2 linked regions of the Arabidopsis thaliana genome follow. The protein of the gene in region 1 interacts with the protein of each later gene in a pairwise test. Each region holds a gene or a part of one and is shown in the gene's direction. Other genes may lie near its edges.

What was found.
Region 2: the proteins of NAP1;2 (region 1) and HON4 interact in a two-hybrid assay, tested with the Arabidopsis thaliana proteins (one study listed by BioGRID).

Annotation. Positions count from the first base shown.
Region 1 is NC_003071.7:8,436,542-8,442,414, forward strand, and holds NAP1;2 (nucleosome assembly protein 1;2), read left to right. Parts: upstream 1-1,914; 5' UTR 1,915-2,059; coding exon 2,060-2,105; intron 2,106-2,209; coding exon 2,210-2,253; intron 2,254-2,481; coding exon 2,482-2,577; intron 2,578-2,706; coding exon 2,707-2,799; intron 2,800-3,021; coding exon 3,022-3,109; intron 3,110-3,213; coding exon 3,214-3,275; intron 3,276-3,357; coding exon 3,358-3,542; intron 3,543-3,625; coding exon 3,626-3,803; intron 3,804-3,890; coding exon 3,891-3,934; intron 3,935-4,017; coding exon 4,018-4,234; intron 4,235-4,330; coding exon 4,331-4,348; intron 4,349-4,430; coding exon 4,431-4,499; 3' UTR 4,500-4,960; downstream 4,961-5,873. Other genes in the region: RECA2 (recA DNA recombination family protein), read left to right, coding at 5,191-5,247, 5,431-5,488, 5,679-5,873. UniProt on the Arabidopsis thaliana protein: May modulate chromatin structure by regulation of nucleosome assembly/disassembly. May function in nucleotide excision repair (NER). Involved in somatic homologous recombination.
Region 2 is NC_003074.8:6,168,106-6,173,578, reverse strand, and holds HON4 (winged-helix DNA-binding transcription factor family protein), read left to right. Parts: upstream 1-1,573; 5' UTR 1,574-2,020; coding exon 2,021-2,230; intron 2,231-2,316; coding exon 2,317-3,198; coding exon of another isoform or gene 3,199-3,270; exon of another isoform or gene 3,271-3,653; intron 3,654-3,741; coding exon 3,742-3,807; intron 3,808-3,910; coding exon 3,911-4,195; 3' UTR 4,196-4,616; downstream 4,617-5,473. Other genes in the region: HAL3A (HAL3-like protein A), read left to right, coding at 4,950-5,285, 5,403-5,473.

The DNA of each region.
Region 1 (5,873 bases):
TCTCGCTTAGCCTGTTGCTTTTGGTCTTTTCTATTCCTTTTCTCAATTTATTAAATATCTTTATTCGGTGAAAAAAATATACAGTATATTTCTTAGAAACTTTATAATAAGAATAAGGATTTTGTTTTTATATTTTCCTAAATTCCATAAATCTCTTAAGTTTACAAATTCATATATCTTTTAACATTTAAACAAATAACCAGACTTCTAGTAATATATATAAATTTATTTAGGGAGTGTTATTGGTTTGTGATGTATTCGAAGTTTCAGTGACTTAAAATGTTATGAAGAATTTGTTGTTATTCAATAAAGATTTTTCAATTTTTTGTTAAAGTTTGGTGTTATTAGTTTAAGATTTGTAAAAAGTAATATAAAATCTTCATAAATGTAGAGTTATTGGATTCATATTTTTATAAAGTTATTAAATTTTTTGTGTAATTCATTTAAAACAAAGAATCTATGATTATTATAATGAATTAAATTATTGTGTTATTGGTTTATGACTTTCTACCCTTTTTTTTATAAAATAAAGTTGTGAAAAATATCATACCCTTTTTTTTTACAAAATAAAGTTGTGAAAAATATCATAAAAATAAAGAAATTGTTTGAGAAACTTTACAAAATTATTAAAAACTAATCAACAAGTTTATTAATGACCTTAAACCAAAATAGGTACATATAATATTAGATAGATCATGCAAATGCGTTTGGTGGTTATGTTACTTTTGTATCATTTGATTGGCATGATGTTCTACATTTTTTTACCATTTCTCTATTCTTAAGTCGAAATCTTTAGGACCAAATAAGCATTTTTCCCTAAACTAACAAAGCAGCATCTCACTAGATGTTTTCCAATCAGATTTGCTTACTATAGTGTGCTAATATGAAATTTGAGTGACTCATGACAATGCATCAATCCAGATTAAGCATTAACATGTGATCAGCTAGCATTCATGAGAATATGAGAATTGTCTTCGAGCTAAAAGAAAGTAGACTCTTTTTTCACTTGAGAAACTCATGACATACTTTTTTTTTATATACATTTGTTTTTTGATGATTAGGTTAAACTTTTGTAATAAATAAATTTTTAGTTAAATAAATAAACTTCTATCATCAAAAGACTCGTGAGTTTCTTCCTATGTTGCAATGAAATGGAAACGAAAACGCGAATACGAAACGTTTCGGAAACGAGAAACGATTTTTTCTTAAAATTAGGGATTGGAAACGATTTTTTCTTAAAATTAGGGATTGGAAACGTATACACATACATACATATATATATATATATATATATAACATTAACATAAAACTATATTAAAGAAAAAATGGTTTAAACAATACAAGTCCAAAACATCAATATTAAATAAATAAACTAAAATTCTAAAAGATAAAAATTAAAAGGTTCAAGTTCAAATAGTTAATTTAGACCAACATTTTCATTTTCATTAGTTTCATCAAAGATAATATAAAGCTCTTTTCAAATCTGGTTTATCAAAAGAAATATCTTAAAACTCAAAGTCTTCCAAAATTAGTTATATGTATTAATAATTTTAATAATTTTAATTTTAGTTATTAAATTTTCAAAGTTGAAAAAAATTTGTCGTATGTCTATTTGGGAAACATGAGTTTCTATCTTTAAAACGTAAGTTTCCATCGTGTTTCCAAACATAAATTTTTAAAAAACGCGTTTCCGTTACGTTTTTCATGTTTCCGGAGAGTTTCTGTTTTCGTAACGTTTCGGAAATGGGAAATAGACCTCGGGGCGAGTTTCCATGCAACCTAGATTTCTTCTAACCAATAGAAATGCTCTTAAAAGCCTTTTTTTAAAAAAAATCAACAGAAATGCTCTTAAATGTTAAAAACAAATATTCATGCCAAATTTTGATGTAAAAATTTGTTATTTTCGCTTTAGTTGTGTCTTATTTCGGTCTGGTCATTTTCTCAAAGCCCTTTTAGTTATTTATATATATATTCTCTGTCTCGTATTTGTCCCCAAAAATCTAGGGTTTTAAGGTTTCTTATCCTTCCTCTTCCTCCGCCAGATTCTTTTCTTGCGAAGATGAGCAACGACAAGGACAGCATGAACATGTCCGATCTCTCCACCGGTAAGATATTATAATCTTATTGTCCTATAGAATGAGGCCTGGATTCTCTTTTGTTCTCTTGATTTATTGAAAAAAGCTTCTCTTGTTTTGTGTTTTGCTTATAGCTCTTAACGAGGAGGATCGTGCCGGGCTTGTTAATGCTCTTAAGGTGAGTTTTTTCTTCACGATATGATTTGCGTATGACTATCTGGAGATTGGGCTATTCATCTTTGTAACTTTTAGGGATTGTTTTCTCTTCCTGACTAGTTTTGAGAAATTGATTTGATTCTTATGGCTTAGAGAATTTGACTTTGGTTTTGAGGATTGTCTATGCATCTTAATTTGGTTGTTTGAAAGTTTGTGACTTTTCCTGATTTGATTTACGTGTTTGCTGCAGAACAAGTTGCAGAATTTGGCTGGACAACACTCTGATGTCCTTGAAAACTTGACTCCACCAGTCAGGAAGCGTGTCGAGTTTCTAAGAGAGATTCAGGTGAGTAAATTTTCAGCTTTTAGATGATCTTGGATTTTGTATTGGTTTTGAATTAGCTGGCTGTTCAGGTCTAATGAGTTTTTGGTGGAGCAAATTTATCTGATTCCTTTTGTATTTTAACCTTTGCAGAACCAATATGATGAGATGGAAGCAAAATTCTTTGAGGAGAGAGCAGCTCTTGAAGCTAAGTATCAAAAGTTATATCAGCCTTTATATACCAAGGTTTGAATACGGTCTTTGATTCTGCGAGATTCTTATGGTCTTTAGTTTCCTATTATTAGAATATCTTTGAAACACATGATGACACCTCAATTGATAAAGGTTTAATAAGACTTCTCTCTGTTGCTACTTACGTGAATGATTAGTGCTTCATGGTTTTCACTTCTTTCTGCATCATTCGTGATTGTAACTGATATTGATGGTCTTCTGCCTTCTGCATCACAGCGATATGAGATTGTGAATGGTGTGGTCGAAGTTGAAGGTGCAGCTGAAGAAGTAAAATCCGAACAAGGAGAAGATAAATCAGCTGAAGGTGTGTTTATCGATTCTTTTACTGAAACATGTTTATTTTTAGTATCTTATGATGATGATGGTGAACTCATGATTTTTATATGATATGAAACTGTCTTTCTGCAGAGAAAGGAGTACCAGATTTCTGGCTTATTGCATTGAAGAACAATGAAATTACTGCGGAAGAGGTTCGTTATTAGAATATTCTTCTTTTTGGTTTATAAAATGGCGATTCTCTTTATCATTATGTGGTTTTTTCCACGGTTTTAGATAACTGAGCGAGATGAAGGGGCTCTCAAGTATCTCAAAGATATCAAGTGGAGTAGGGTTGAAGAACCAAAAGGGTTCAAGCTTGAGTTTTTCTTTGATCAGAATCCTTACTTCAAGAACACTGTCTTGACCAAGACATATCACATGATTGATGAAGATGAGCCTATCCTTGAGAAGGCCCTCGGGTAATGTTTTGCTCTATCAAGTATTTACTGTTTATGTTCTGAAGACAATAAGTCTTTATTGACTGTCGTTTACTGCTGTTCAGGACGGAGATTGAGTGGTATCCTGGAAAGTGTTTGACACAGAAGATTCTAAAAAAGAAGCCAAAGAAAGGATCCAAAAACACAAAGCCGATCACTAAGACTGAGGACTGTGAGAGTTTCTTCAACTTTTTCAGTCCACCTCAAGTTCCTGACGATGATGAGGATCTTGATGATGACATGGTATTTCCATCTCCATAAGCAGTTTAGTTTTTAGAGTCAGTAATTAAGATTGTGTTGGATTTTAATCTGATCATCTAATATTCACAGGCTGATGAACTCCAAGGACAAATGGAGCATGATTATGATATCGGGTGTGTACCTTTCTATTTCATATTCAGTTCTCTTCACTTAGTTCAGTTCTAGGATCTGAGTCTGTCCACTGTTTATCCTGTAGTTCAACAATCAAAGAGAAAATCATCTCGCATGCTGTGTCATGGTTCACTGGTGAAGCTGTTGAGGCAGATGACCTTGATATTGAGGACGACGATGATGAGATTGATGAAGATGATGATGAAGAGGACGAGGAAGATGATGAGGATGACGAGGAGGAGGATGATGAGGATGATGACGAGGAGGAAGAAGCAGATCAAGGAAAGAAGAGCAAAAAGAAGGTAAATTATGTGGTTTTGTTCTACTTAAAACCTTCCTACATAGGAAACTAAAACCTCTGAAACTGATTTGGTGGTTTATCTTTTGTTTTGTTGCAGTCATCAGCTGGGCACAAGGTTTAACAATCAATCAATCTCGATCTTTTTTTTTTGTTGATAATGCAATGGCTAACCTGAGGTATCCTTTTTTAATGAACAGAAGGCTGGAAGAAGTCAACTTGCGGAAGGTCAAGCAGGTGAGAGGCCACCGGAATGTAAGCAGCAGTGAAGAAGTGAAGAATCTTGGCTTAGTTATGATGAAGAAGAAGAGTGAAGAGTGTCTTTGAGCCGAGGTTGTGTTTCTTTAATTTGCAGAGTCATGGTCCGGTTTATTATATATCAGTTTTGGGTGATTGGTTTGCTATTTAAAAAAAAAAAATGGGTTCTTTGGTTTGGTTTGTGTCTCTTGATTTTTCCTTTTGTAATGATCTTATGAATTTGTTTCGAGTTAATGTCGTTCTCTGGTCAGATTTCGAATTCAATTCTATTTATCCTCCCTCGTTAATGAGAGAATTTGTGAGACAATCTAGTTTACTTAAGATTGATCGAATTTTATAAACCAACATTACCAAACCGTCAAATAATTAAAACCAATCAATCTTATTTATCGGTTTGCATAACCCATCAATGAGCCGGTTTAGACATCGGTTTGAGTTTCTCTGGGAAAGACAAAAGTCAAAAACATCTCTGCCGACTTGTAAAAGACCGATCAACAGAAACCCAAAAAAAATAGTTGAAACGGAGGGAAACGAAAACCTAAAACCCTAAAAAACTCTTCCTTTTTTTTTTCCAGTGAAATTTCTCTTCTTCTCCGTTTTCATACAAGTCTGACTTCTGGGTAGTTGGAATTTTCCAGTTTTTGGTTTGTTTCTGTATCTGTGGTTTAAAAAAGTGGAGAAGAAGCTTTTTAGTGCTTTTCTATGGCGAGGATTCTCCGAAACGTTTATTCACTGAGAAGCTCTCTGTTTTCGTCAGAGGTATGTTTATCGTGTTTCTCATTTGGGTATTACGAGAAATTAAAAAAACTCTGTTACTGTCGTTTTCATTGCTTATTTGGGTATTCATTCATGAGAAAGAATCCGAAATGTTGTCTCTTAATTTGAATTCATTCTTTTTTTCTGGGTAATGTTTATTGACAAGGGTTTCATGGGGTTTTGCAGTTACTTAGAAGAAGTGTGGTTGGAACATCGTTTCAGCTCCGAGGCTTTGCTGCCAAAGGTTGTCTTAAGCTTTTACCTTTTGTTTCTATGAATCGATTTTACTCAAATTGGTTTTTGATTTTGATGAATATATGTATTTCCACAGATTACTAGAGCTAAATCCGTTTGCGTTTCTGATTGCTTAGCTCACTGTGGTTGTTAAAGTTGAGGTTTTTGCCATTAACTCTGCAATTGTTTTTGTTTTGAAGCTAAAAAGAAATCCAAGTCAGATGGAAATGGATCATCTGAAGAAGGTATGTCGAAAAAGGAGATTGCTCTTCAGCAAGCACTTGATCAGATTACCAGTTCATTTGGCAAAGGGTCCATAATGTATCTCGGTCGTGCTGTTTCTCCTAGAAATGTCCCGGTTTTCTCTACCGGATCTTTTGCCCTTGATGTAGCTT
Region 2 (5,473 bases), on another chromosome or scaffold:
TCTTTTGTTTTGTTGGAATTCTGGTGTGGTGATCGTCTTTTGTCATCTGCTTACTTGGTGTCTGGTGATTGTGTCTTCTGATCGTCTATTACCAGCCGCACTTTGTTTGACCCTTGCTTGAAAGTATTCGAGCACACGCATGCACACATCACAACACAGATATATTAGTATTAAAAGAATGAGCATACATAAATTGTTGTATGAAAACGACACGACTCAGGTGATACTTGGAGTTTGAATGATGAGCATATATCGGGTTTTACTTGCGCTTAATGCATAAGCATAAACGTACTGTACTCTTTATAATATCGTATTGTAATGTCAGTAATATGTACCAACAATTCTCTTGTTGGATGATTCTTTTTGGGTACCGTGATGTATGGGCTGGCTTTACCAAGGAGATAGGTGTGACACTTGTTCCCCCATAGATTTATCAATTGTTCTTAGTCCCATTGATTTTATTTGAGATTTGCTACTTCAAAATTCAAATGGTGAAATCTATCCAACTACCCTTTTGAATCCACACATATAATACACAAAAGTTCATTAAACAATATTAAAATGTCAAATGAAAAAAAAAGTTCTTCTAAAAAAAAAAAAAAAACATTAACTATATGTAAAACCACTAAATATCTTTAAAATTATCGCTCACTTTGTATCCTTTACATTACCCGTTAAAAATGCTTGTTTGTTATAAATTTTGCATTAAACAATTATAAATTCTAGTTTTTCATATTTTAAATTTTCTTAAATTCATCGTTCACTATTTATCATTTTTATTATAATGTTTAAATAAATAACGCTTCTTTGTACAAAACAAATTAAAATTTGCAATCAATACTTACTAATTGCATGTTTTTCCATATTTTGAAAATTTTAAAACTTATCTTTCATCATTTAATATTTCAATTATTCTTTTAAATATATCACGCTTATTTGTGATACAAGACAAAAGAAAAATGTATTTAGCACTTGGTAAATATATTTTTCCATATTTTATTTTTTTCATAAAGTTATCTTTCATCATCTATAATAAGAGGTTTACATTTATTTGTTATTTTTGTTTTACGTCGTACATTTATATATATATATATAGATATATATATATATATATATCAAATATTTTGTTAAAATGCAACTAAAGTTAAAATTTAATTCAAATGTAAATATCATACATTACTGTTTAAAAATATTTTAATGTCTTGTAATTTTTCCTTAATGAAAAACATATTTGATGTATCATTTTGTGATTAAGTTAAAGGGTCGCAAATAGATATATACTCTAACAAAATTCACAGAAAATATAAATTTGAAACTAAATTTTATGTAAATGTATCGATTTCAAATCCTAAACAGAGGACATAGAAGTTAGTAATTGCATTTGTTTTGCCATACTCATCTCAATACATCTCTTACTTATCATACACTCTTTAATGGAGTTTGTTACATGGGTTACTTAATGTAACAGTGTTTGCTATATACTTCATTCGATGTTATTCTAAAATCAACAAAATTGTTTTACACTGAAAGCGAGGAGTTCTTTTCAGAAAAATAATTTAAAATTTTGGCGGTCCATTTTTAAAATTTTGGTGATTTTTTATTACATTGGAGCGAAAATGTAGCAAAATTCTAAGAGGCAAAAATGAAAAAAATCAAAGTAAAGAAACACAAAATCCTTAAAATAAAAGACAAAATGATATGACACGTCATCGATCCTCGTCAAAACCGTCGATAGAAAACAAATCAACGGTTAGATTTAATAGTAATCTTTCTTCTCATCCTTTCGTCTCTACTCCTCCGCCTCTCTCTCCCCAACCTAACTTTATTTATTTCTCTCACAAAAATTTTATTTTCACAAAAACAAAAAAATCAAAAGAGCTCTCAGAGCAAAAAACAAAAAAAAAGAAAAAAAAACCCTAAATCTAAATCTCACCTTCCACCTCTGTCTTTTTTTTTTTTGTTCTTTTTTTTTTTTTTACTGTATCTTCTCTTCTCTTTGCTCTGCAAAAATCTCACATCCATGGATCCATCTCTTGGTGATCCTCATCATCCTCCTCAGTTCACCCCTTTTCCTCATTTTCCCACCTCCAATCATCATCCTTTAGGACCAAATCCGTACAATAACCATGTCGTCTTCCAACCGCAGCCGCAAACGCAAACGCAAATCCCGCAACCGCAGATGTTTCAGTTATCTCCACATGTTTCAATGCCCCACCCTCCTTACTCCGAAGTAAGTTCAATCTTAAAAGCCTCTTCCTTTATAACTAAATTCAGTTACTTTTTTTTTTGTTACTAATTTTTTTTTTCTGTGTGTAGATGATTTGCGCTGCGATTGCGGCGTTAAACGAACCGGATGGTTCGAGCAAGATGGCAATTTCGAGATACATCGAGAGATGTTACACCGGTTTAACTTCTGCTCATGCTGCTTTGTTGACTCACCATCTCAAGACTTTGAAGACCAGTGGTGTTCTTTCTATGGTTAAGAAATCTTACAAAATTGCTGGTTCTTCTACTCCTCCTGCTAGTGTAGCTGTTGCTGCTGCTGCCGCCGCTCAAGGTCTCGATGTTCCCAGATCTGAGATTCTCCATTCAAGTAACAACGATCCCATGGCTTCTGGCTCTGCTTCTCAGCCTCTGAAACGAGGTCGTGGTCGTCCTCCTAAGCCTAAACCTGAATCTCAACCACAACCACTACAGCAACTTCCACCGACCAATCAAGTCCAGGCTAACGGACAGCCAATCTGGGAACAGCAGCAAGTTCAATCACCTGTTCCGGTTCCGACTCCGGTTACAGAGTCGGCGAAGAGAGGACCTGGTCGTCCAAGGAAGAACGGTTCTGCTGCTCCTGCTACTGCACCAATCGTTCAAGCTTCGGTTATGGCTGGAATTATGAAACGTAGAGGTAGACCACCGGGTCGTCGAGCTGCTGGGAGACAGAGGAAGCCCAAATCCGTTTCTTCTACTGCCTCTGTGTATCCTTATGTTGCTAATGGTGCTAGACGCAGAGGAAGGCCTAGGAGAGTTGTTGACCCTAGCAGTATTGTTAGTGTTGCTCCAGTAGGTGGTGAAAATGTGGCAGCGGTTGCGCCAGGGATGAAGCGTGGACGTGGACGACCACCTAAGATTGGTGGTGTTATCAGTAGGCTTATTATGAAGCCTAAGAGAGGACGAGGACGTCCTGTAGGTAGACCCAGAAAGGTAAATTTTCACATCCCCCAATTCTGTATTCGTGATCTCGATTTTGCAATATCTGACGTTTACTGTGCATGATTGTTCACTGCTCCGCCGTCAATTTAGATTGATAAAGTTTGATACTTGTGTTGCAATCATTGTGGAATTCAAACTCAATGTCACTTTCCGCTTTTGAGCATTGTTGTCTGTTTTCGCGTATCCAAAATCTGACTAGTATCTAGTGTTTTTATTATATTTTCGTGTCCCTTACTTTTGGCTTATCCTTATCTGGTTTCTCTGTTTTATTTTAATTTTCGTTTGGATAATTAAGACCAAAATAGTCGGTAATGTATCGCTATAGCTAGGAATAATTTTATCATCAATTAGTGTGTTAATCCGGCTTAATGGTTTCTAAGTCATCACATAGTGTCTTCTTCTCTGTATCTTCTATTTTACTAGTAACGTGTTCAATTGGATCTAAAGTAAGACTTCTTAATTTAACCATTAATGTCTTTCTTGAATATGTTATACTTTTATCCAACAATTTTATTTTTTGGTTCATGAACCTAGATTGGAACATCAGTCACGACTGGGACACAAGATTCTGGAGAACTCAAGAAGAAGTTTGATATTTTTGTAAGTCTACTTGTTGACAATAAACAGTTTGGCTGTCCTTTATTTGATTAAAGTATTCGATTCTACTTGCTTATGTTTGGTTTTTGTATGTAAATGATTTCAGCAAGAGAAAGTGAAAGAAATTGTGAAGGTGTTGAAGGATGGAGTTACAAGTGAGAATCAAGCAGTGGTGCAAGCCATAAAAGATCTGGAAGCACTAACAGTGACGGAGACCGTTGAGCCACAAGTTATGGAAGAAGTGCAGCCAGAGGAGACTGCAGCACCACAGACTGAAGCTCAACAAACTGAAGCTGCTGAGACACAAGGAGGACAAGAAGAAGGACAAGAAAGAGAAGGAGAAACACAGACCCAGACAGAAGCAGAGGCAATGCAAGAAGCTCTGTTCTGAAGAATAATAATGATCTAGAAAACAACCTAGACATAATAGCCTTGGTGTTTGGCGTTAGGAGTGTTTTTTTTTAGTTGTTTTAGGTGTTGGAATCGCATCTTAAATTATATAAAAATCTATAAGGAATTTTAATTTTTCTAGGTTTTGTTGTCTGCAGAAGAAGAAATAGTAGACTCGTTAATGGTGTTGTTGTCGGTGTGTCTTTAACCAAACCATAAGACGTGGCTGTAAATTAGCGATGTTTCTAGTCTTCCATCTTTAATAATCTCTTATTGCGTCTGTGCCTTTGTTTTTTTCAATCTGTCTTCTGCTCTCTGCTTCCGCTTTGCACATTGTGGAGATGTTTTCGTGTCTATTTTCCACCCAACGGTTTTAGCAGGTCGACTCTTACTTAATTTCTTACTAATAATATCTTCATTTCCATCTCACGTTGGCTCAAAAAGCTATATAACTTTGACTCGAAAACATGTTAGAGTTAACACAACAGTCGAACTCAGAATCGAAATTGCAGTCCAAACGAAGTAAATATAAAATGAAATATATCGATATTCACAGCCCATACGACCGAGGCCTAAAAAAGAGTGAGTCAATGGCCCATTTGACCAGCAACTAAAATGATTGTCCTCTCGGGCCTCTCTCTTTCTCTTCCCTCTAAAACATTTTGATATTCTCTTCGACCAGATCAATTTTTCGGTTAGGGTTCTTCGCCGAACCATTGGCTACTTTGCTAGATCTCTGAAGGTGTAAAAGAGCTATGGAGAATGGGAAAAGAGACAGACAAGACATGGAAGTGAATACCACACCGAGGAAGCCTCGTGTACTACTCGCTGCAAGTGGAAGCGTCGCTGCTATCAAATTCGGCAATCTCTGCCATTGCTTCACCGAATGGGCAGAAGTCAGAGCCGTCGTTACGAAATCATCTCTACATTTCCTCGATAAACTCTCTCTCCCACAAGAAGTGACTCTGTATACTGATGAAGATGAATGGTCTAGCTGGAACAAGATCGGTGATCCTGTCCTTCACATCGAGCTTAGACGTTGGGCTGATGTTTTAGTCATTGCTCCTTTGTCTGCTAACACCTTAGGCAAGGTAATTTAACAAATCGACGAAAACCCTAAACCAACTACTTAGATTCAATTGTGTGACTTGTGAAAACATTCATGGAGGATTCAATTCATACAATATATTTTTGTTGTACCTTTGTAGATTGCTGGTGGGCTTTGTGATAATCTTCTGACTTGCATTATACGAGCTTGGGACTATACCAAACCACTGTT